3 linked regions of the Oryzias latipes genome follow. The protein of the gene in region 1 purifies or fractionates together with the protein of each later gene. This does not show direct contact. Links are inferred from orthologs where the notes say so. Each region holds a gene or a part of one and is shown in the gene's direction. Other genes may lie near its edges. The genes, in order: rad9a, clspn and rfc5.

Region 1 (8,261 bases):
TGGGCGCGTGCGTCCACTCAATAGTGTTGGCCAAAGCTATCCATTCTCTGTCGCGCATCGGTGATGAGTTGTACGTGGAGCCCCAGGAAGACGGGGTGAGCTGCTTTGACGCTGTCAGAAACACCAGCACTTCCTCCTACCAACCATCATGTATATATTTTGCTTACTTCCTGTTTGCGTCGACGAATGGTGCTGATTTGAATGCATCTCTCTCTTGTAGCTGGCGCTGCGGTCTGTGAACTCTTCTCGGTCGGCATATGCTTGCTTCCTGTTCGCACCACTCTTCTTCAGCAGGTGCACGCTCCGCTCTCGTTTCAATCAATCACAGATCGTGTCAGTGATGCAAGTCAGCTTCCAACTGCCCGTGTTTTTGTGCAGGTACTCGATTCCCGACGGGAGAAACTTCCGCTGCAAGATAGCAATAAAGGTGGATTCTCAAGCTGTTTACCAATGAAAGTGAATCTGCTTATCTTTTTGTGAAAAATCCCAAAGCTCATCATCAGATGACTCCAAGTACTTTTCTTTGTCCTTTATTAAGTACATTTCCCAATAAAACATACTTTGACCATTATTTGTTAGTAATATTTGTAATCATTTAGTTGTTATTAGCATCAATTACATCTCCATACTCCTTCCTCCAGAACTGTCAGATCCTCAGGTCCTGCTCTCTAATCTGAACCAGGACTCACAGCGAGGCCTCTTTTCAGTACAGTGCTCCTCATCTGTGGAGTAACTTACCTGCAGATCTGACATTTTCTGCATCCGTGGAGATTTTTAAATGTAAATTAAAGATGCATCATTCTAACGTAGCACTGCGTAACTCATATAATTAACTTATTTATTTATTTGGCTTTTCAGTATTTTATGTTATCGTTAGTATGTTTTTACCCTTCTATCTTTTAAGCTTTTAATCTACTGTTTTTTATGACTTTTTAACCTATGTTTACATATGACTTTTATGTCAAGCATGTTGATGAAAGGTGCTCTAAAAATAAAGAGGTGGATTGCAATTAAAGTTTTTAATATAAACGTGATCAGATGAAAGATTTATGACATTGATATGATTTGCTTTAATCTGCCACTTATAGCTTTCACCCGTCCTGTTAAGTTTGGCAGTCCAAGCTTACTTTTATTGGTTAGTCATTAAACATATTTTTGTCCCCTTTTAGAAAAAAAAATCCCTTTATTTCCCTTCTTTGACATCTTGACTGTCATACGATGCATTTGTACGACTATTATTATTATTTTTTCAAACTCCTAAACTCCCCCAATCTATTTCTTTTTCAATTTTAAGAATAGGAATATGTATGATTGCTTACCGACTGTTATCCGATTTAACTGTTTAGAAGTGAAAGTTTTTGAGCTAAAACCCGTTTTCTTGATTTCAAGTTATCTCTTTGCTGCCATGTAGCAACTTTAATGTTGTGGTTATCTGAGTGAAAATGTTTCAAACCTCTTAGCTTCCTTCCTCTGGCAGTTGTAGATAATAACAAAAGGGGCCAAATACGCCTATTCTCACTGCTGTGTGAAAGCTCACCTAATAGTAACATCACTTTGCAAATCAATGTCTAACCTTTAACCCTTTTTTAAAAGAAGCAGTTAGGATATGTTGTTTTGTAAATGTTCAGACACACGTGCATTCATTATTTTTCTCTTATTTGTTGTTGTTTTTTTCTGTGCTTGTCAGAGTGTACAGTCTGTATTCAGATCTTTGGCAACTCTGGAGAAAACGGTAGAAAAGTGTCACATTGAGCTGAATGAGCAGAAAGACCGCCTCACCTTCACCCTGCACTGCAAACATGGTAACAGTGCTTCACTCCATCCAGTTACTCAACAGTCATCAATTCATCGTATTTATCTTAATCGTCTCTTATTACTTTCTTTTTCTCCATAGGCCTTTTAAAAACACACAACCTGTCTTACCAGGACAGTGAAAGTCTGCAGGCAGTGTTTGATAAAGACACCTGCACCAATGAGTTCAGAGCGCAGCCAAGGTATATAAATATTGTTGTCAAACGGCTTTACTGATACTATTTCCTTCAGTTTTTATTAGCAAAAAGGAGAATATTTAGCAGTTTTGCTAATGAAAACTGTGTTTTGTAGGGTGCTGGTGGATACAGTCGCCCACTTCCCTCCATCTCTGGAAGAAGTGACTGTGACGGTGAGCGATGAGCGGATGTGGGTGAGAAACCATGTGGAGGATGAAACAGGTAACACCACTGGTGTTTTCAGGAGGAAGCGACAAATGGTTGCTTATTTAAAACATCAGCAAATTACTGTACAGACATATTTGCCAAAAAAATGTAAAATACAAACTGTTCATATTTACAAATTCAGCTGTAACACATGCATATAGTTGTTAACTGGAAATGTTTAAATCACTCTGCTGATGGATAAAAAAGAAAGAAGTTTGATTTAGAACCAATGGGGGCTCTTGTGGTAGTTTGACCAGGTTTTTTCTGACGGACGCAAAATTCCAAAGGAGTTCTTTTCAGCAGGTGTTTCATTCAATTTTCCCGTTTTCCTCAGAGCGGTCCAAGGCCATGCTGACAGAGCTGTGTCTGGCTTCTGATGAGTTTGACCATTTTGTTGTCAAGACTCCTAACAGTGTCACCTTTTGTTTGAAGGAGTTTCGGGTGAGATTTTTAATTTCCCAAGTAAATCATGGGAGCCATGCAAAAGCAATTGTAGATATAGACATATTCTATATTTAATGCCACCTGTCTTTCAGGGTTTGCTTGTGTTTGCAGAGTCCAGCAATCTTCCTGTTTCCATGTACTTTGATGAACCAGGAAGGTGAGCGCGTTTATCGTCAGACCCTTGCCGTTTGTAATCTGAATTCATTCTCTGTATATTTATGTGTGCTTTTTTTGTGCATCAGTCCCGTGGTGCTTTCAGTGACAGACGGTGTCCTTGAGGGAAACTTTGTGCTGGCTACACTTTCAGACGACCCCAGCCTTCCTAAAAACAAAAGCAAAGGGTAAACACACAAACACAGAAAAAGCTGGAAGTATGTCTTGTCTCTTCAGTTCAGATATTGACAGTCATTTTCAGATGAATATGCATGTCAAAAATAAAATCTGGCATTGCCATTTCACTAGTAACTTAAATTACTTAAGTAAGCCTGTCAGCATTTATGTACTATACCATGTGGCGGGTAAAGAAAGCTCTGTTTAAGCGTCGTATATTTTCCCCTAGCCTTTGCCCCAGGTAGTTTTTATAAAAAACCTTTTCAGTTGCAGCAAATGGAGCAATGAAAAACAGGTAATCTGAATACTTACTTAAAATTCGAGACCCCCCCCAAGTATAAAAGAGCTCCTATACTCTTCCACTAGCTTATAGCCCCTCACACTACAAACCTAACATTACAGATGCAACAAAAATGGCGAGCCAGATTGGAGCTATCCAGCTACACAGTTCTAAGCCAGATCATGGATCTGTTTGTCTACAAGTGGATGCATCAAAATGGAACGGAGCGGGGAGCTTGTGAACCGCTGATTGCAGCTTTTATGTCACAACTACAAGCTTTTTCCAGCAGCATTTTTTGTCTGCGACCTGATTTACAATGATTTGACTAAAGAAATACTATTAATAATAATATTATTAATAATAATATTATTATTATTATTGTTTATGTATGTCCTTTGTAATTAGAAAAAGGCCACAAAAACATGTTAAAAAAACCAAAAACATAATTTTTAGTGGAGTGGATCATTGATGTAGCAGAATGAAGTCGATCTAAAGCAAAAGGACGGATTGATTAAAAGCATTTGACTTTTTTATACTCAATGAAGAATCCGTCTTCCTTACAACCTGTGGATCAACAATTCTAAGCAATCACTTGGTTGACATGGGACTTGAGGTATTTGAAATATGAGGAGTTGCATGTCTGGAAATGTGTAAAAAGCCTCAGGGAAAATTCCTTTACAAGCGTTGAAACGTCAGAGTAAATTAGTCACGGCGCTTTTTTTTTCTTTTTCCATTCTGGACTTTCTGGTCCACTCTAAGAGCTCACGCACCGCCGTCACCTCCTCCTGATGACTTTATGAACGATGACATGGACTCCTACCTAATTGCCATGGACACCAGTGTTGCATCAGGACCCTCGACTGCTGGCCCATCAGCATCAACACTAACCGACCCCTGTACCTCAAAACTCCCTGAAGCCAATCACAGGACAAGAACACACAGTGAGGAGGAGGAAGAGGAGATGGAGGATGGTTCTGACAGGCCACCCAACAAAAAGGTTTGGTTTAGATACTTTTTTTTTTTTTTTTAATCACTGCACACACAAGCTTAACTTGAGTTTCCAGGTTTAAAGATCAGGTTTAATCCAACAAACACAGCAAAAACATGGTTTGGAACACCAACCAGGTAAAAACAAATTTGAAAACATAGAAATTGCTAAAGACTTCATCTACTCTGATGTCACAGATTATTCTGACATGTACATCCATAGAGGGATTACTGCTCTACATTTGCTCAGTCTGTCTGCTGACACACCATGTAACAGCTCCTTAAGCCCACTGTTGACAACAAGATTTACCATAGTTTTGTGCTGCATGCAGCTCAGATTATTTCCAATCCCTAACAGTTCTCTTGATACTCTGGCACTAAAAAGAGAACACTTGTGACCTGTTGTATCAAGGGTTCTAACTGCATATTATTTAATTTTGAGTGTTGATTAAAGCAAATAATAATTATACAAACATGGCATGGGGGTGTTTACTGGTTTATCTATTTTTTTCTCCATAGGCCTTTACAGAAAAATCAACAACTTAAAATAACTATTTGTCTTTGTAGTAGAAAATGATGTATTTTTTAACGTCTCGTGTTTTTTTCCTCTCACAGTTCCGATCCCTTTTCTTTGGATCCGTGTTTCCTCCATCCCCCAAGATTAGTACACAACCTGTGACGACTCAGGAGGTGTTGGCCAGCGACAGTGAGGATGAATCTTAAGCGGGGTGACAGACAAGGGAGTTGCAGGTAGACGTGACGGTAGAGGGGATGTGAAAAGGCTACTGCATCACGACCTGAGGACTTCTTCAATAAAAAAAAAAAGTGGCAGTTTGGACTGTGCTGCTCCCCTTTATCGCCCGCTGTGAGGCTTACATGGACCCTGTTTGTTACTGAGAGGCCAGCAGCGTTCTTGTTGGATTTGATCTGGGATCACATAGAACTGAAAAAGAAGCACTTCTGTTTATTTATTTATTTTTTTGGTTTTGCAATATGTCTGATATGTAAAGCAGAAGCAGGATGTCAAATCCCACCAAATAAATGTTTTTCAAGTAAATGTGTAAAGATAATTTACTTTTAAAGATTTCACGTGTTCATTAATGTTCAACTCAAAATGTTTCCTGTCAGAAATACGAGTCAGCATAAGTCAGTGCATGTGAGCCAGTCTTTGCAGGCTGAGCGACATCGCCGCTACTGTTCTCCGTCTTCACTTGAAAACTATTTGCTTTCGCCTCTTTTTTCTTCTTCCCTTTTTCCAGCTTCTCCTTTTTCTTCTTGAGCTTCTCCTCCTCTTTTTCCTTTCTTTCGTTCTCTCTCCGCCTCCTCCTTCTCTCTCTGGAGTTGATTTTTCCCTCCACCTCTCCGTCCATGAGTCTCTCTGACACCGTTTCATCACTGAAATCTTGAATCAAGATTTTGGGCACTTGCATTTTTACTTTGGTGTTTTTTGGCTTCTCCCCTCTCAGTCTGCGCAGAAGGCCGAAACCTTTAGGATAGTCTGGCTGCTTCTCCTGGAGTCTCACGGATGTCTCATCTACATCTGTCTTTACTACATCTACTGTTCCAGGATCTGGTTTTGAGGGATCAGTGGTGCATTGTGGTCTGCTGCTTTTCACTGGGGAGGTGAAGAGATCCTCAGAAAGTCTGCGTGCTAACCTTGACCCCTGTGAGTGAGACGACCGGCGCATGCAAAAGTCACTGGAGGACCTGCTGCTGCGGCGATACTCAAGTCCTTTCTCCAGACTGCGGTTCTCAGAGTCAGCCTGGTTTTCTCTGGAGTCTGGATCTAGGTCTTGGGTCTGTAGAATACTGCCTGGAGGTGATTCGTGGGTTTCCTGGGTAGACATGAAGAAATTGTTCTCTGCTGCTGTGTTTTCTGCAACTTTTTCTGTGCTCTCCGTCCGGTCTGCAACACTCAAAGTGGCCTGGCTGTTCAATTGTTCCACTGCTTGCAAGTCAGGAGTGTGTTCTTGTTCTGGAGTCTTGTCCTCGGGCTCAGCGGTTTGGTTCGCTGCATCACCTTCCATTAAAGCGACAAACTTTGCGTTGTCCTCCGTTGTTTCTCCTTGTGTTTCATTTAGATTTATTTGATCAACAATACATCCCTCTTTTTGTGTCTCTGAGAGTTCAGCCACAACATTTTTTATTATTTCTTTTATAAATTCAGCCACAAATGTTTCTATGTTTGGTGAAGCTGCAACCTCTTGATCCGTCTCTGCATCATCTGTGAGGTCAGGGATCTTTCTTTGTTCAGGTGATGCTGGTTTGGGTGCGTCGTCTTCACTCTCTGCTTCCTTTTCTGAATCTATTTGTTTTTCTGTTGCTATTAGTTCAGAATTTGATTCATTTGGGATCCCGTCAGGTTCCTCTGAGGTCTCTATAATCACATCTTGTGAAACAGTTTCTGTTGTTTCTATCTCAGCTAATGCCTCACTACTCTGGTTTTGTCCCACAAGAGCAGGTTTCAATTCATTTGTTGTCAGCTCTTCTTGCTCCTGTTGTGTGTCTTTTATCAGGTCTTTGGCAGCTGAATCTTTTACTTTGCTGAATTCTTCTGAGTCTAAATCGTTCTCGTCTTTTGTCTCCAATGTCTGTGTGACTGTATCCACCTGTATCTGCTCCACATTATCAGCTTCTGCCTCTTTTTGTTGTTTTATATTGGTTTTTATCTGACTGGTATCTACATTTTCCTGCACCTCTGTGTTTGGATCTGGCACCGCTTCCCCCTGAATCTCGGCGTGGTCGTCCTCCACTGAAGCCATGTGCTCAACATCTGCCTCCGGCTTGTCTATTTCCTTGTTTTTCTTGTCAAATTCAGATTCCTGGGAAATTTGTTCATATTTTTGCTCTTGCGGGACTTGACTCTGACTGGTTGTCTCTATCTTTTCCTCTTCTTCACATGGAGGTGTGAGTGTTACGATGACTTTTTCTCCTGCGTGCTCAGTTGATGGGTTTGGTGTTTTGAGTTTCTCTTGCTCTGTTGTTGTTGTGAAAAAATTCTGTGGTTTGTTTCCCTCTGAAATGAAGTCTTCCTCTTCTTCTTGAACACTGGTTGCCAACTCGGAATTTAAATCTGTCCAGTTTTTCCAGTCGCCCCTTTCTCCCATGGAAAGGTGCCTCACAACTTTTTTACCACCTTCAGGGTCATCTGTGGAGACTTTTCCTACTTTCCTCCACTTTTTGCGAAGAAGGGAAGGTGACAGCGAAAGAGTAGAGGCTGAGCGAGCGAGAGACAGAGTCAGGTTCCCTTTGACTTTTTGAGTTTTTTCTTTTTCTGCTTTTTTCTCTCGAGCTCTTGTCCACACCATCCTGTATCCATGGCAACGGGCTCTAGGGTCAAATTTAGATGTGGGCCTCTCTTTCCTCCACTTGCCTAGCTCCTTCTCTGTTCGCTTCTCCAGATCTTTGGCTGAGAGGGGTACAGAGCACACCTGAAAGGAAGGCAAAGTGTCAGGTCTCGCTCTTAATTTAATTAATTTAAAAAGAAGAGAAAAAAATCTACCTCTACTATGAAGGCATCATCTTCTTCTTGGACTTGTGCCTTGACACCCCTCAGTGTTTCTAGAGTCTCCACCTGACCCTGACACTCCTTCCTTTGCTCTGCACGTCCCAGGACCCGGCGCACCAGCACTACTGCCACCTGCAGGAGCACTCGCACACCTGCGCAGCAGAAAAGGAGGGGGGTGCAGGGCATAAAGAGGTTAAAATCAACTTCTAAGCAAGGTAAAGCAGTGAGTGCAACATTAAAATAATAAATGTAATAAACCTGTCAAGAACGCATCTAAAAATGATCTAATTCTAGATAATCATCTTGTCCTCCAACTGCAATGGTAGAGGACAAACATCAGTATTACTTTTGGAAGAGTAGACACACCATAGCAGAAGAAGAGGTCCCAGACTCTGAGGAGAGTGTTGAAAGGCAGGTGACGTGTGAACAGACACATCAGCCAGTCGGTGGCGAACATGAGGGGCTCCACGCCGTGCTGCTGCAGATGTTTGTGTGCAGCCGGGCACGTCCTCTTCAA
Region 2 (8,085 bases), on another chromosome or scaffold:
AATGAGAACCCTTCAATTGTGACTTATCTAACATAAAAGGTACAACTCAAACTGTGCAACAAATCAATACCAGGACTTCCTCTAAACATTATTAGGTTCTTCACTTGGAGAGTGGGAGAGATCATTGATCATCTGAAAGCAGCTCAGACACTGAACCTTCCCCTCAGCCCATCAATCCAACTGGACATGTCCAGAAGAAGGACACGTGTTAATCTGACAGTCCGGTGTTGCTGAATCAGAAACGCAAGCTGGACCCAAACCGCTCACATCCCCTCCAAAGCAGCATATAATCAAGCCCGCGCGTGGATCAACCCCCCCAAAAAAGCGCTTTTGAGGAACAAAAACATCTCACAGGTGGCGACGGTGAGCGCGCGCCACTGCACCCGCGTGCTCTCTGCGGGTCTTTGTTGTCATGCGGGAGCCGCATCCTCTGCGTTTCACCCAGCTGGGCTCGGTCGATCCTAGCGCACCGCTGAGACGGCTCAGGGCTCGCGTGAACCGATAACAGTGAAACCCACGAGACAGGAAAAAAAATGCGCGCGCGTGTGTGTGTGTTTTGCTGGCATTCATTTTGTTTTCGCAGCCTCCGCTGTCATCGAGTCGAGTGAGGGAGCCGCGGCCGACGGTGAAAAACGTGGGGTGTTTTAACCAAAGAAAAACACGATACTGTATTGCATTTCGACAGAGTTGTGAGTCTATCGTGAGCAAATTGTGTTGTTGTTGTGAAAGCAGACAGGCACAAGCGACAGGCGCCGACATAAACACCGCACGACGCGCAGCCAGGAGGAAGAAGGAAGCTGCCAGTTAAATCCCCCTCACACACAAAGCCTGCTCCAAATGACGCGGCTGCGGGCGCTCCGCCTGAACCCACGCGGACCTCTGGCGAAAACACCCACCGACCCCCGCTCGATCGGTCGGTGGAGCTCCACGGTCCGACTGCGACGGGCTGGGCCTCGGTTTGTTTCCCCCCGCAAGCTTGCTGAGGCCTCGCTCCGGCCTCGGCCCCCAGTGAGTCCGCGCGTCCGTGCTCACGCGCCCCAAACACGGCTAGCGCCTCCACTCCTCGCCGCTTCTGTTTTTCTGACATTTCTTACCGGGTCCGAGTGCTTCCATGGCCGAGGCCTCTCTCTCCGTCTCTGTCCCGGCCTGGCGGCTCCGTACCGACGCTGAAATTGGGGGCGGTATTGCGAAGCTTAAAGGGGCTAATCTAAAAAACGGAAATATAAATGGACGCGCGGCGGACTGTACTCTGACTGGAGCTGCCGCGACTGCTTGTGGGGATTTGTATCTGCGCCTGCGCTTCTCAGAAGACGTGGGACGCGCACTGCGCATGCGTAATTTGCTGTCGCGTACCTTCAATTTGAAATAGATGCAAGTCGGTCACAGTTTTGGTGCATTTCAATGTTTTTCTTAAATAAATTGGACTGGTTTAATTCTTTGAGATAAAAAATCTTAAAATATACATTAATGAAGGAGTTCTTATATTTCAAACACGAGAATGTAAGCTTACCTTGTAAAAAATCTCATATATGTACATATATATGGATGTGGCAGTATATGTATAGTATATGTGATGGGAACATCAGGAATAAGGAACATGAGAAACTGGAGAAATGCCAAGGACTCTGAGAAGAACTGGAGAAAGCATGGAAAGTGAAGGTGCCAGTGGTGTCCTTAGACAGCTCTTTGGTCTTGGTCTTAGTGGATTTGGAGTGTGACTGTTTGTGGTTGTGGACAGGTGTCTTTTGTACATATAACCAGTTCATACAGATGCCAATAATACAGAATGAGTGGAGGACAGAGGATCTTCTTACAGAAGAAGTTACAGGTCTGTGACAGACAGAAATCGTTTTTAGGTGACCAAATACTTACTTTCCACCATATTTTAAAAATAAATTCTTTAGAAATCAGACAGTGTGATTTTTCCTGATTTTCTTTTTCTCATTTAGTCTGTCATAGTTGAGGTAGACCTATGATGAAAATTACAGGCCTCTCTCGTCTTTTTAAGTGGAAGATTTTGCACAACTGGTGACTGAATAAATACTTTTTTGCCCCAATTCAATTCAATTTTATTGATATAGCCCAAATTCACAACAACAGTCGTCTCGATGGGCTTCGTATCGGTAATTGAAAAAGTGAAACATAAAGTCAAAAGGATCATGAATACATAGAATTCAATAGGAAAATACTAAAATGAACTAACAATCTGACTAAGCTAAACTGGCATCCCTGCCCTTAAACCCCCCTTCGACCCCCCACTGTCTGATTGTAGTAGGAGCTAGGTTTTTTGTGTTTTCACATTTTCAAAATAGTTTTATAATTAAGATTAAAATGTTTATGTCTTACGTTATACAAACATTGAAAGAGCAATGGGGTGTTCAAAAATCAAAGAAGGGTGTCAAGGCGTCAAGCAGTAAATTTGAAGGGGGTCAAAAGAGGGGCACCAGACGTGAAACTGATACTCAAACTGCATCCGGTGTGAATGCAATATTAGACAAAAGTTCACTACTCTGGTTAAAAACCAGAGAACATTAAACTGTAGTAACTTTCATCCATTTTCTTAACCCGCTAAATTCCTTCTAGGGTCATGGGGTTGTCCTGGCTACTGTCGGGCAAAGGTAGGGTACATCCCAGACAGGTCGCCAGTCTGTTGCAGGGCCACACAATCACTTCCAGAGACGCACTCACAACTAGGGACAATTTAAAGTAACCAATCAACATATGTTGAAGTGTGGGAGGAGGCCAGAGAGCCTGGAAAAAAAAACCACACATGACCAGGGAGGACTTGTAAACTCCATACAAGAAGCTCTCAGCTGGAATTTGAACCAGGGCCTTTTCGCTGTGAGGAGAGAGCACAAAGCACTGCACCGCCGTGTAGCCCACGGTTTAATTTATTTACGTTTTTTTAAAAACATTATATTGTGAGAAGAAAGCCAAGACTGATTGGAGTTTATGAAACACAATCAATAGTTATGAATAGAAGAATAGAATAGAATAAACTGGCTTTATTGTCATTGTGCATAGTACAATGAGATTTAAGCATCACCATCAGTGCAAGAACAGTAAGGAAGGGAAAAGTAGTAAAGATAACATTGTAATATAATAAAATCAAACAAGCATGTATGTATCCTATAGTATATCCTGGCTTTTTTGCATTGGATTATTTTGTCTTAATTCAACTAAACTTTTTAATTCTGTTTATGTTATTTCACTTGTAGAATTCAGATTAAATCTATTTGTTTAAACAGTTTTAAAATGTAGAACCTTATTTTGAGAGTCTCTCTTGTATTGGGGAAGCTTTAAGACGAAAGTGTTGTTTGTTTGTTAGTCGTGTCATTCTAGTAACCAAAGTACTTTGGTCAAATGAGGTTGTTTTCAAGCGTGCTGTATGAATATATATGTTTGCAGTGATACCGCAGACTGAATGTTTTATTTTTATTTTTTTCAATGTAAATTTAAAGCGTAAATTACAGGAAAAAGCGCCAAGCTCCGCCTTTGTACCCATACGCGGTGTATAAAACATACAAACTCTTGAATGATTACGTCATAGTGGTTGGATCCAACTGTCCCAAACCCACCAATCACAACACGAGAAAGGACAGATTGACACCTCGCGATAAAACCCAAGCGAACCAGCTGTCACGGCGCGCGAAAGCTCAAACCTTCGTGTTGGTTGTTGGAACAAGCGGGAGGAGAAGAACGGAGACACCGTCTGTGGTTGTGAATGTTCCCTGAAAGATTAAAATAGTGGTTGTTGCTCGGAACTGCTTTTATCCCGCGTCTGTAACGCGCGTAGCAGATCGAAGCAGCCGAGTCCGAGCAGGTTTTTTTCGGTGAGAGGAGGCAGAGACTCAGACACTGACTGACCGGAGACAAAGATGAGCCTGGTTCTGTCCCAACAACAAGTGAGGAAGTTAAAATCAACAAATCCTTGTGTTAGTTACCTGATTATTGACAGTAGTGGTGTTTATAGACTAACCATATAAACGTTACTAATAGATTAGTATGAATATTTTAAATTATTCGCTTCTTTTCTTAGCCTTAGCATCAAGCGCGCTAGTTGGCTTGGCTAGCTTAGCTGTCGGGTGGTTTGAGTACTGTTTCAGTTGATTAATTCAAAATAAATGATTATTTCAACCTGCTGGACAGTTGTAAGGATTTAAAGCAAACATTTTCAGGCTTTTGAGGTTTTAAATATTAGTATAAATCCTGTTTTAAGTTGTTAAAGTCTAGTTTGCAACAGTTCGCGGCCGTTTCATTGTTGTTTTGCTAGGGGCGCCATCTACTTTTTTTGTGAAGAATTCGTCTGTTCTCTGTCACACAAAACACTTGATTGTTTATGCTTGTAGTTTACGTTTTAAATATTCAATTTTGGTCAAAGAACATAAAAAAAAGATTAATGGGGGGGTTATTACATTTTGGGAACAGAGTGTAACCGACCGCTGCTCGGACCGTGAACGCACCATCCACAGGATGTAGTTAAGGTGCGTCAGGCACGTGCACGCTGTCACAGCTGCGGCTCTCGTCTCCTTTGCAGGCAGAGGAGCCAGCAGCAGCTGCTCCGGAGAGCGACTCGGACAGCGGGATGGGTTCTCCGGCAGATGAAGGGGAGGCAAAGACGGAAAGGAGGACGGACGACCCCCCAGGTACTGAAGCAGAACGAGGACATCACTTGCCTTCACTCTGTCTGTGCTGTTTGGTTATGTTGCTAACAAAAAAACAAAGGATTAGTTTTTTTCTAGAGGTCCTGTGTATCTTTAATCTTTAAACGCACCCTTATCATCTGTTCTAGCCTGGCCTCACATCTGCAGCGTAACTTCAGTTTTTCTTCTACAACATGGATGATCTGTTGTGAAACGTATAAAATAAGTCAGTGAATGCAACAGTAGCATTTATATTCATGCACATGTGAGGAAAACGTTCATCCCAGCTACGTGCATTAACCCACACTGGACAGGCAGGAAGGGGTTCTTCAACTACAGTTGGAAGAGGCTTGGTGCGAAATGTTGAAGTGGTGCAGATCTCATAAATCTGCCTTTTTTCCCCCCCACATCTCTATTCCGATATATGAAAGACTTGGTCTCATGTAATTCTGTCCGGAAACAAACCGCAATTAATCATTTATCCTCCACGACCCATTTTCAAATGGCGGGCACTAGGCCTGCACAATATACCGCAAATTTATCGTTATCGGGACATCAAGCTGTGCAATATGCATACAGCAAAAGACGGCGAAAATCACAATAAATGGTTACCTTAAATGTGCTAAAACAAACTCACGGCAGCTTGAAGTATTTAATGAGTCAAATAAATCCATTTATGCGTTTAACCAATCGGAAGGACCCGTTAACGTTGTTGATCAATCAGATGAGCCCTTTTATGTTTGATGTTTGCCTCCTATGTCGACAAGGGTCATTTGGAGTATGATTTTTAAACTGTTGCAGTGAAATGGAAATGATGTTTTTGGTTGTTTTGCTATTTGTTTATATACCGCAAATTATATCGTTATCGCAATATTAACCACCAATATCGCATATCGCGAGTTTTCCTCATATCGCGCAGCCCTAGCTGGCACTTAAATGAGAAGGGAGGCCATCCGTGTGTCACTACCAAATCAGAGCCCCCGATTGGTCAAGGTTTGACCTGGTTTTATATTTTAGAGCACGTTCAATGGATGTGAATTTCATATGTAGAGCCCGAAAACTTGTAATCTTGTGTAGCTACACGTGAACGCTAGAGATCCGAACCTAGAAGCCTGAACAGCATGTTTTTTGCGCGTTTCCATAGCCTTTTATCGGAAGTGGCCGCTTGAACGCGCGGTGTAAACGTAGCTTTAGAGATTATTCATAGCTCATCGGTTTGGCCATTCTTCAAACTACTGGAACTCATCAACCATTCACACAGTTAACATAAGTCCAACAGGTTCTGAGGCGGAGAAAAGCTACTTTGCGCTGATCTGTTAGCTTAACCAGGAAGGCTCCACCCCCCATGATTCTGTTTTAGAATATTCTTGGAAGATCTTGCAGACTGATAGTGAAAATTCTCATGGACCGGTCAGATTCCGTTTCTCTTATCTTCATCCTATGTAAAACATCAGCAACTGTTAAAACATTATTTGTTCTCTACATTTTGTGTAAACTGGCTGCATGTTCTCCCCGTGCATGCGTGGGTTTTCTCCGGCTTCCTCCCACCGTCCAAAAACATGCTTCACAGGTTATTGGTTACTCTAAATTGTCCATAGGTGTGAATGTGAGAGTGCATGGGTCTGAGATTTGTGGCCCTGCGACAGACTGGCGACCTGTTCAGGATGTCCCAAGCCTTCGTCCACGAGCGGTCGGGATAGGCTCCCGCAGCCCCGTGACCCCGAAAGGGAATAAACAGATTTAGAAGATGAATGAACCATTAAAATGTGAATTAGATTTTCCCTCAACTCAGAAATGTTAAAAAAAAACTTTGGTGCGACGGATAAAAAAAGAAGAAGAAAACACTCACTAAAACTGGCATTTTCTAAATAAAATAATAAACAAAAATCCACCTTGACATGCATATTTAAATAAAACTTCCCTCAGAATCAAATTCTATGTGTTTTTGTCTCTCTTTGTACTAACTGTCCCACGAACCAGTACCGGCCCGCATTCGCTGGGAACCACTGATCTAGAATGATCGGGATGTTGGAAAAACGTGCAGTGCTTCTCTGGGTCACTCTGATACGGGATGCCTAGAGAAACACGAGGAAACTCTAAAAAAAACAGTTTTTAGATAAAACATAAAAAAATGAATTTTACATGAAGCTTTGTCGCAAATTATTATTTATGTTAAAAAAGAAAAAAAGCTGCACTGTTTTACAAACCAGACTCATGACTGCTCCTCCACAACCTCCTCCTCCTCCTCCTCCTGTTGGAGGCAGATAAAGACAAAACAGGAAAGGGCCGAGAATAGAGCCCTGAGGTTCTGTGTCTAATGTGAACACCTTCTTCAGGATTAAGTCTTCATTCTCGGTTCATGTTTATTTTTTTTACAGATTCTCTTTTTTGTTGTTGTTTTTGCAGACTCTGATGATGACATCACGGCTCACAGAAAGCCTCGCCGTGTCGCCATCAGAGACAGTGACAGCGAGGAGGAGGAAGCGGCAGAAAACGGCTTCCCTGTGGCAGAAGCTCAGCAGCTATCCAGCGGCGAGGAGGAGCAGAGCAGCAGGAAAGGAGCGCAGAGGAGAGTTGCCCACCGGCTCACCGACAGCGAGGACGGCGAGTCGGATGGAAGGGAGGAGTCGCAGCAGGCAGAGGCGAAGAACAGAGAGAAGAGCCGGAGGCGGCGTGAGAAACAGGAGAGGCGAAGTAACGCGGTGGAGAAGCTGAAGAGGAGGAGGTTTGGCGATGAAAATGAGGTAAGTTCTGCTTGCTCAAACGGATCGGAACAGAGAGATGGTGAGGTAAAAACCCGTCTTGTCTCGTTAGGGTGGTGCTTTGCCGCGATCGCTGAACGACAGCGGGTGTCCGTTGGGCGACACGGACCTGTTCGACACAGGGCTAAACGACGAAGAAGAGGAGGAGGAGGAATCTTTGGACGCCATCCGAGCTGCAGTCAAGCAGAAGATGAAAAAGCAGGAGGTTAAGATAAATATCCGAGTCAGCCGTCTGCTGGGGCTCCACGATGAAGCCTTGCTCAAAGGTTCTGTTTCTTTAGGAACGCCTTCTAAGTGAGGGGGATGACGATGACGAGGCAGCGGAGAAGCCCCACCGCGCGGTAGGCGGAGCCAGAGTCTCCCCCCAAGCCAGGGAAGTGTCAGTCATGTGATCAACTTGTTGTTCTCCTGTCCACAGGAGAGGAAGGCGGCGAGGGCGAGCCGAGAGGCCATGAAGCAGCTGCACAGCGAGTCGCAGCGCCTGATCCGAGGTGAGCGCTCCTCCGCCCATCTGCGGCGCCCCCACCCGCTCCACCTGAGCTAACATCCCCTCCTGCCCCCACAGAGTCCTCTTTGGGTCTGCCATACCACATCCCAGAGCCCAAAAGCATCCACGACTTCTACAGGAGAAAAGCCCGCCCCCAGGGTCCCGCAATGGCACTGCTCAAGTAAGACCCTCC
Region 3 (8,044 bases), on another chromosome or scaffold:
TGTTTTGGGACTTTGCTCTAACAAGCAATGGTTACCTTGCAAGTAAGATTTCTAGAAATCATTAATTATCAGAAAATAAATATGATTTAGTGAAGGACAAGAGTGCTGCGTTTCCCATCATCCCTTTGTTTACACACTCTCCCACTGGCTTACAGCCCCTCATCACCCCAACGTGACATTGTGGGTTTAACAAAAATGGTGAGAAATATTGGCGCTATCCAGCCGCAGTTTTAAGCCAGATGCCAGTTCAGACGAGGAAAACGAAGATGTACATGTCATCTACAAGTGGATGCATCAGGATGGAGCGGAGCAGGGGGTTTGAGGCTTGCTGTTATACAAACCCAAAACCTTTTCCGTTTTTTGTCTACTCCGGATTCACGATGATTTGAAAAAAAAAGAAATACTCCGAAATGCTATTTTGATCTTAGTTTTTTTAAGAAATGTCCTCCTTCATCAGAAAGAAAATGCCACAAGATCATGTGAAAAACACAGAAAACACAATTTTCATCAGGGACGGCCTTAAAAGAAAGCTAGATTTGTAACAACCCCACCATTATGTTTGATCTTCATTCATCTTTAAAAAATTATAACCTTTGCAAGTGCATAATATAATTCTCACAACGTTCCTGTTTGCTTTGCACTTTCCAGCCTGATGTTTGTGCTCCATGTTTATGGATTAAGTGTCTCCTCAATGAAGAGCTCAGACATGAAGCATTAGAGCAGCATGTTGATGTGTGCAGCACTCTCTCTCTTTCAGGTGACTTTATGGTCTCGAATGTAGCTTTTCAGTTCTGTTAATCCCCCTGGGGGGGGGGGGGGGGGGGTTAGAGTGTGTTGAAGGCGTGCAGAACCTCAGATGGCTTTATGGGCCTCTTATTGCACTTAATACTGTTTGTTTTAATCTCTTGGGACAGCGTCGTCACATTCTCACAGGTGTTTATGGCTGCTCTGCGTCCGCAGCACTCACGCTGACCTTTCTTCCTGCGTGCGGCGCTCTGACTCTGAAGCAGGTCCGCTGGCCGGTTAAAGGTGGACCATCTCAAACGCAACACCGGGTTATTGTGACCGTTACATAACGTAATTTACAGAATACCCCCACGGGCCAATTAAAGGATAGGGATGTTTTGTAACCTTGTCGGTATAATCTGGTCGCCTTGCGTAACGGCGGCTGGGTTTGGGATGAGCCCAGAGCGCGCGCAGGCTGGCATGGCACACCGGCAACGGATTGTAAACACGGGGCTGCACGCGCAGGCCTCACGTATATATCTGATGAAGAGGAGAGCCACCTTCTCTTCCCGCCACCTGCAGAATGCGCAAGTCTCCAGCAGCCCACTGCAGCCCCGTGGCCTCGAGATTTATTGCACTGCACAGACAGAGCCGCGCGCACGGATGAAAGGCTGTGGAGCTTGGAGCCCCTGCATATGGATGCAATGACAGCACCAGGGTAGTTTGCTGCTGGGAAAAAAAAAAACAGCATAAACGTGCAGAGTGGCCTGTAAAAACTGACAGCCCTGGGTGATGCTTTAGTTGAGGATGCAGAGCAGTAATTGAGTCAGGGAGCCGCTTACCTCCAGCGTTCGGATCTCTTTTTGTGTCAAGTCGTTGGATGTGGCACATTTGGTCCGTAAACCCTCCAAACTAGAAATGCTTATGTCAATCATGTTCTGCACCAACTCGCACTGCTGCAAGGCTTTCTGCAAACTGAGATGCTGCTCCTCGCTTTTTGTCATCTCCTCGTTCATAGTTTAGCGCGCGCTGGATGGTATTTTTTCCCCTTAGTTTGTATTTCCAAGACAAAAAAAGAAGAAGAAGAACAGAGGGTTAAAAAAAGAGGATAATTCAAGAAAGAAACGTGGAGGAGCCCGCGGAAAAGAGCAACCAGCACAGCGCAGTGGAAAGAGATGCTGCAGGCTTAGACTCTGGCTTTGAGCCGTGAGAGGGTCGCCTCCATTGCAACAACAGTCCTCGCAGCTCCAGCTGGATGATCAAGGATGTAAACTAGACCAAACTCAATGTGAGGATGCGGAGCGGGGCTGAGCGGTCTGCTACAGCATCCATCGGGCGTCCTTTCCGTTCTAATGGATGCTGAGGAAGGGGGGGGGGGGGAGAAAAAAAAGGGGGGGAAAGGAACCAAATTTGCTGCTCAGCGCATCCTAAACAGCCGGATCGGGTAGAACCTGGCGGTTTTAAAGGTGCTGATGTGCGGATTGGATGCAGGTACTCCCTGTCTCCCTTGGCAGCAGCTGCATCCCGGTTCGCTCCCACCACACCGACATGTTTCCCGTCAATCAAAGCCACAGCAACAGCATCGCAGCGCCGCCGTAAGGGGCCGCTCTCGCGTGATCACGGCGCGCTCAAGTGGGTTCTCGTCTGCTGGACGAGAAACGCATCATCTGCGACAAATGATCTTTATTTTTCAGGGTGATATTTCATCAAATTAAACATAATTCAGCAATCTTACTAAAATGCAAACGAAGTGCCTGTTAAACTAAAAGGTTAAACAAAATTTGAAAACATTTTTTAAAACATTTATTGTGTGTACTCACCCAAGTTATTAAATAATGGGGGGGGGGGGGGCATGTTTTACTTATTTATTTATTGTTTTTGGTTGTCGCCTGGTTAGGTAGCTAAATAGTTAACGTCTAAAGCGTATATTCTAAATGAAACGTATTAAAAACCAAACAGATTAAGAAACTTGTGTATTTTTCTATTAATTTAATTTACCTATTTTACGAAATACTTATTGCACAAGTTAGATAGAAATGTATGTACATCAGGGGATTAAATATTGTTTTTTTCCTGTTAAATGCTTTAAAGTCTTATACAAATCTTTAAAATTAGTCTGATTTCCACAGCACATTAATTTTCGTTCTGAAATGTTCAAGAAAATCGGTCAAAAATGTTTTCGCCTACGGATAAATATCAAACTAACACAGAGATTTCTATTTTACAAGATAATCAACTCAAAAATGTTTATAAAATAAACAAAAAACAATTTTAAGCTTTACTTTAGAAAATATTAAAATTCTTCAATTGATATTGTGGTTTTTTTTACAGTTTACCTTCAACATATCACCATGATCCCACCCACCGGAAAGCAAAACGACATTCTGTTGGTGTTACGTCATGACGTTGGCGTGCGTTTCTGTCGCGAGCGCGGCAAAAGGAAGCGACATAGAACAGACGGGGTTTTTCCTCTACTTGCCCGGCTAATAAATAAAGTTACCGGGAGTCATGGCGTCTACGAGTAGGACCCCGTTACAGAGCAGAAACCTGCCATGGTGAGCCGCGACGAACGAGACGTTTGAGAAGCGGCGAGAATGTCGTTGTTGTCTAAGACTAAGCTAGCTGCTCCTTCAAGTTCTTGTTTGTCTCCAGTCAGAGGCTGTGCTTTTTTTTTTTGTTTTGTTTTCTTTTAAGTTTGTTCAGCTTTTTAAAGGCCTACACACTTCTTAAAAAGAAGGGAAAAAAAGAAATATTCTACTAAACAACGTCTTTGTTTTTGTGCTAAAAGTGTTTGTTTTGCATTTCAGGGTAGAAAAATATAGACCACAAAAACTCGATGATTTAATTTCACACAGAGACATCCTGAGCACCAGTAAGTTTGTTCATTTAAGGAAGCAAATCGACTCTGTGGTGTCCAGAGTTCTGAAGGTCTCCATGTCTCTTCAGTCCAGAGGTTCGTCAGAGAGGACCGGCTTCCTCACCTCCTGCTCTACGGGCCTCCTGGAACCGGAAAGACCTCCACCATTCTGGCCTGTGCCCGGCAACTGTACAAGGACAAGGAGTTCAACTCCATGGTGCTGGAGGTACCGTCTCCACTCAGGATCTTTAGTCTGCAGGGATTTTCTCATCTCCAAGGGTCCTGATTCTGATTCTCTTCTGTTCAAGCTGAATGCTTCAGACGACAGGGGTATCGATGTGGTCCGAGGTCCCATCCTGAGTTTTGCCAGCACCAGAACCATCTTCAAGTGAGTCGGTACCGCTCCAGCTCTCTGTGACCTTCTGCAGAGATTCCCTCCAGACAACTCCAAACTCCTTTTTCCTCCCTTTGATCCCCAGGAAAGGCTTCAAGCTGGTGATCCTGGACGAGGCCGATGCCATGACCCAGGATGCCCAGAATGCATTGCGGCGAGGTGAGCCATCTGTTCGCCTAAGTATGGCTTGCTGTGAGCGACACGGCTCACTGGGCAGCCAAATCATTTGGCTGATGATGCATGGGTCTGCATGAAAACACAACCGTTTTCTAAAATAATCCTTTGCATTGATTTTGTTGATTAAAATTTTTTTTTTCATAGGTGTTGAAAGTAGGTTATCGTCAACGATCTCATAAACGAATTAAGATGTTTGCAGATTTTCAAAATAAGACGATTTTAAGTAACTTTATCCCATTGAACTAACGTTTTGGCAGGTAACAGTCTGTCTTTTTATTTTTGTAAACTTCCTGCTGTCTCCCGTACGCCTCAGTGATTGAGAAGTTCACAGAAAACACCCGGTTCTGCCTCATCTGCAACTACCTTTCCAAGATCATCCCCGCCCTGCAGTCCCGGTGCACCAGGTTCCGCTTCGGGCCTCTGTCGGCGGACCAGATGATCCCCCGGCTGAGGCACGTCATTCAGGAGGAGAGGTGAGGAAAACCGGGACCGCTTTCGGCCTCTGAAGTCTCTCACTTTCTGAGTCTGTCAGAAGCATTAAAAACGACTGTGATGTTGACATGAAAAGATGCTTTCAAAGGATTTTTGAAAAATTAGGACTATAAATGGAATGAAAAACTTTACATTCTCGTTTCTGCCATTCGCATTCATCGCTTTTTAAGCTTTTCATTAAGAATCTCTCAGTTTTCTTTTTTTCTTTTTTTGATCCGATTTCACGTTTTTTTATGCTGATACCCGAGTCTCGCTCCAATACTTTTATAACACATTTTAAAAGTTGAATAAACAAATGCAGGTTTTCCCGTTTTTATTCTATTCCCCCTTTATTTTGTCAGAAAAAGAGCACCTCTGTGAACAATTAAGTACAAATAGTGCAACCATCAACTAGAAAAAATAACAAACTATTAACTGGTAAAAATAGTTGATAATTAGTCATGTGAGAAAGTTTGGTGACTGTAGCTTTGGCTCTTCAGAGCTTTTTGGATCAGATGTGATTTTTTTTTTTTTACTTTGGGAAAAAGAAATACCCATTTTTTTAAAAGGCATGAATATGATGAGTATTTATGACTTAACTTATATAAACAGAACCATTTATGTATTTGTGTTGTTTTTGAGAGTTTATTATCTTCTGATCACTTTTTCACAGAGCTTTCTTTTTGTAGACGGTCCCTTAGCAGCTCTTTTCACTGCCGTTTCTCTCTTTAATTCTCCGTATTTGAAAAACACATCGCATTTTTCTTTAAAGGTCATCGTTTACGTTAAGACAAACCAATAGAGACACTTGCTGTCAGTTTCAAATGTTAATTAAAAGAATTTTGAAACCTAGAAGTCCAAATATCCTTCAGACTTTACCAAACTGTGTTTGTGCGCCTCCCGCTCAAGCTAGTGCCATGTTTTTGCTGCGTTTTAGGGCAATAAGATGTTGTGATCCGTCCATGAGATGCAGACGTCTAGTACAGGATTTATCTGTAAAAATAAGCTTTAAATGCATAGCGCTGATCATAATAATTTTCCTCTTTAAACTTCCTTTTGGCCTTTAATGAGCTGAATCTTGTCTGGTAGCATCGACATCACCGAGGATGGGATGAAGGCCATCGTGACTTTATCGTCCGGCGACATGAGGAGGTCGCTGAACGTCCTGCAGGTGGGACCTCCTCACTCCTCCTGCCGGGATGTTCTCCAGCAGAGAGGAAAGACTTTTCGTGTCCTTTCAGAGCACCAGCATGGCGTACGGGAAGGTGACGGAGGACTCCGTGTACACCTGCACGGGACAGCCGCTCCGCTCGGACATCGCTAACATCCTCGACTGGTGCCTCAACAAAGACTTCACCTCGGCTTACAAACGTATCCTTCCATCAAACCCACATACAGAGCTGGAACCGCTCTTTTAGAAATCTAGACTTTCATCCGTTAGATCAGTGATCCCAAACCTTTTTTGGCCTCCAACGTTTAACGTCGGACTATGGTCGTGTCCGAATTCCTTCCCCTTTGTAGAGCTGTCCGAATCTACAATTCCCAAATCCAGTGTCCTGGAAATTTCCCAGAAGTCTCTGCGAAAAACCAGTGTGCATCAATGCTCACTAGATCGATAGACCACAATGCATTGCGTCGGAACATTTTTTGCCATAAAAAAAGTATTTTTTAAATAAACCATCAACGTTTTTATCTTCAGCAGACTTGTAAATACTCGTCGCAAAACGCTCATAGTAATTAGATTTTCACTTTGTGAAATCGATGACGTCATATCCGCCGTTAAAAAAAGAAAAGTAGTGAGCAGGGTGTCTAAAATCCAGGGCACTACATAGTGCAGCACTGTATAGTTTTTTTTCACAGCGATCCGAACGCGGCAGAATCAGCTTTTCAAATTAAAATGCTCATGAAATGAAGTCTAAAAAACATTTTGACAATATTTTACAAATAATGAAGATTCAGTGAAACGTAGTTTTTAAAACTCATTTCAGTCACGTTTCACTTGGATTGACTGAAGAAGTTTCTAAAATGCTTTTTTTTGTGTGAATCTTTAACCTTTTTGATGCCAGAAATCCTCCAGCTGAAAACTTTGAAGGGTCTGGCTCTTCATGACATCCTCACCGAGCTGCACCTGCTCGTTCACAGAGGTAATCCAGCAGAAATACTCCCATTACCATCGTGGAGGGAGGATTTTTTTTTTTTATCCTCCTCACAGTTTCACGTCTTAGTTTTACATCCTAAAGCAAGCATCTCCTCTGAAACGTTTTCCTCTTCCTCTGCTGAAGTGGATTTTCCTCCTGCTACCCGCATGACTCTGCTGGTGAAGTTAGCCGACGTGGAGTGAGTGCCGCCGCGCCGCCTCCCCCTCCCCCCCCCCCCGCATGAACGCTACAAATGTGCTGACGCGTCTTTTTTCACTTTCAGACACAGACTCGCTTCGGGAACGGACGAGAAGATCCAGCTGAGCTCCATGGTGGGGGCTTTCCAGGAGGTCCGGGACCTGGTGGTCAGCGAGGCTTCATGAAGTTCAGCAGAATTAAATACTTCAAAGACCCCAAAAATGTCCTCGGTTTTTCTTTCTTTTGTTGGTGCATAAAATCATTAAAATAAACACAACTTGCCGGTTAAAGCCAGATTGTTCTTCCTGAAAAACATCATCTTTCAACTTGGAGATTGAATCATTTTAATAATTATTATTGTTCCTTCCTGTTATCCAGTATTAAGGTGTGCAGGTTCTGCAGAAGCGCTCCGACCACCAAAGGGTTAAAACAAATATTTACAAAATAAATTAGACATAGAAAACTGTGATATTCAAGCTAAATTAGCAGAACATTTACTAAATGCTTCTTAAAGTAGTAGTGCAATAAATGAAACTCTTAGTGCAGGATTATTTAAAGTAGAATACACGAGCGGATTTTCCTTCTTTATACGGCAGTTTTCCATCAGAAAACCAAAACCAAAAATAAAGGCCTTTTGAGATGAGAGTGCGGCGCGCTCCTCCTCAAGACTCCCAGTCCTCCTCCTCGTCATCAGAGGAGGAGGCGCAGTTCCTGAGGCGTTCGGGGATGTTTTTATAGGTGAGGTATTCCACGATCCTCTTGGGGAGGGGCAGCGCCTCGATCTGCTGCGTGGAGACGGAGAAGCGCAGAGCGGACCGGCACAGGTGGCACAGGCTGGGGACGGTCACGGGCGCCCTCCAGAACCGGACGTGGCCGTCTCGGGTTCTGTGTGAGGAGAGACGGCCGTGGAGTTAAGGTCATCGCCGGAGGGGAAGGTCAACAGGATGTGGAGGGCGATCAAGTTCGACATTCAGCCCCGAAGGGACAAATATAAAAGCAGGTCTGTTTAAAGAGCCGCTCCAATTATCTTTTGATCTACTTTCACAGCGTTCCCAGCGGTCTTTGAATTAGAATGATGCAGTT

Evidence for each region.
Region 2: the proteins of rad9a (region 1) and clspn purify together in Homo sapiens (affinity purification with western blotting; 3 studies listed by BioGRID and IntAct, with this or other methods). This does not show direct contact. The link is inferred for Oryzias latipes from reciprocal best matches to the Homo sapiens genes RAD9A and CLSPN.
Region 3: the proteins of rad9a (region 1) and rfc5 purify together in Homo sapiens (affinity purification with mass spectrometry; 3 studies listed by BioGRID and IntAct, with this or other methods). This does not show direct contact. The link is inferred for Oryzias latipes from reciprocal best matches to the Homo sapiens genes RAD9A and RFC5.

What each region holds. Positions count from the first base shown.
Region 1 is NC_019868.2:13,966,619-13,974,879, reverse strand, and holds the end of rad9a (cell cycle checkpoint control protein RAD9A), read left to right. Parts: exon of another isoform or gene 1-24; coding exon 25-95; exon of another isoform or gene 96-214; intron 215-220; coding exon 221-294; intron 295-378; coding exon 379-427; intron 428-1,687; coding exon 1,688-1,802; intron 1,803-1,894; coding exon 1,895-1,994; intron 1,995-2,103; coding exon 2,104-2,210; intron 2,211-2,529; coding exon 2,530-2,636; intron 2,637-2,731; coding exon 2,732-2,796; intron 2,797-2,881; coding exon 2,882-2,980; intron 2,981-4,008; coding exon 4,009-4,246; intron 4,247-4,261; exon of another isoform or gene 4,262-4,851; coding exon 4,852-4,959; 3' UTR 4,960-5,293; downstream 5,294-8,261. Other genes in the region: ecotropic viral integration site 5 ortholog, read right to left, coding at 5,361-7,667, 7,739-7,896, 8,111-8,261. UniProt on the Homo sapiens protein: Component of the 9-1-1 cell-cycle checkpoint response complex that plays a major role in DNA repair. The 9-1-1 complex is recruited to DNA lesion upon damage by the RAD17-replication factor C (RFC) clamp loader complex.
Region 2 is NC_019869.2:20,041,272-20,049,356, reverse strand, and holds the start of clspn (claspin), read left to right. Parts: upstream 1-3,608; 5' UTR 3,609-3,878; coding exon 3,879-3,905; intron 3,906-4,537; coding exon 4,538-4,646; intron 4,647-7,049; coding exon 7,050-7,387; intron 7,388-7,457; coding exon 7,458-7,610; intron 7,611-7,686; coding exon 7,687-7,746; intron 7,747-7,823; coding exon 7,824-7,896; intron 7,897-7,970; coding exon 7,971-8,073; intron 8,074-8,085. Other genes in the region: protein argonaute-4, read right to left, coding at 1,095-1,113.
Region 3 is NC_019867.2:3,440,408-3,448,451, forward strand, and holds rfc5 (replication factor C subunit 5), read left to right. Parts: upstream 1-3,093; 5' UTR 3,094-3,234; coding exon 3,235-3,281; intron 3,282-3,533; coding exon 3,534-3,598; intron 3,599-3,672; coding exon 3,673-3,809; intron 3,810-3,891; coding exon 3,892-3,971; intron 3,972-4,062; coding exon 4,063-4,136; intron 4,137-4,467; coding exon 4,468-4,627; intron 4,628-5,714; coding exon 5,715-5,796; intron 5,797-5,866; coding exon 5,867-5,996; intron 5,997-6,691; coding exon 6,692-6,962; intron 6,963-7,046; coding exon 7,047-7,146; 3' UTR 7,147-7,183; downstream 7,184-8,044. Other genes in the region: ksr2 (kinase suppressor of Ras 2), read right to left, coding at 1,569-1,742; wsb2 (WD repeat and SOCS box-containing protein 2), read right to left, coding at 7,624-7,846. UniProt on the Homo sapiens protein: Subunit of the replication factor C (RFC) complex which acts during elongation of primed DNA templates by DNA polymerases delta and epsilon, and is necessary for ATP-dependent loading of proliferating cell nuclear antigen (PCNA) onto primed DNA.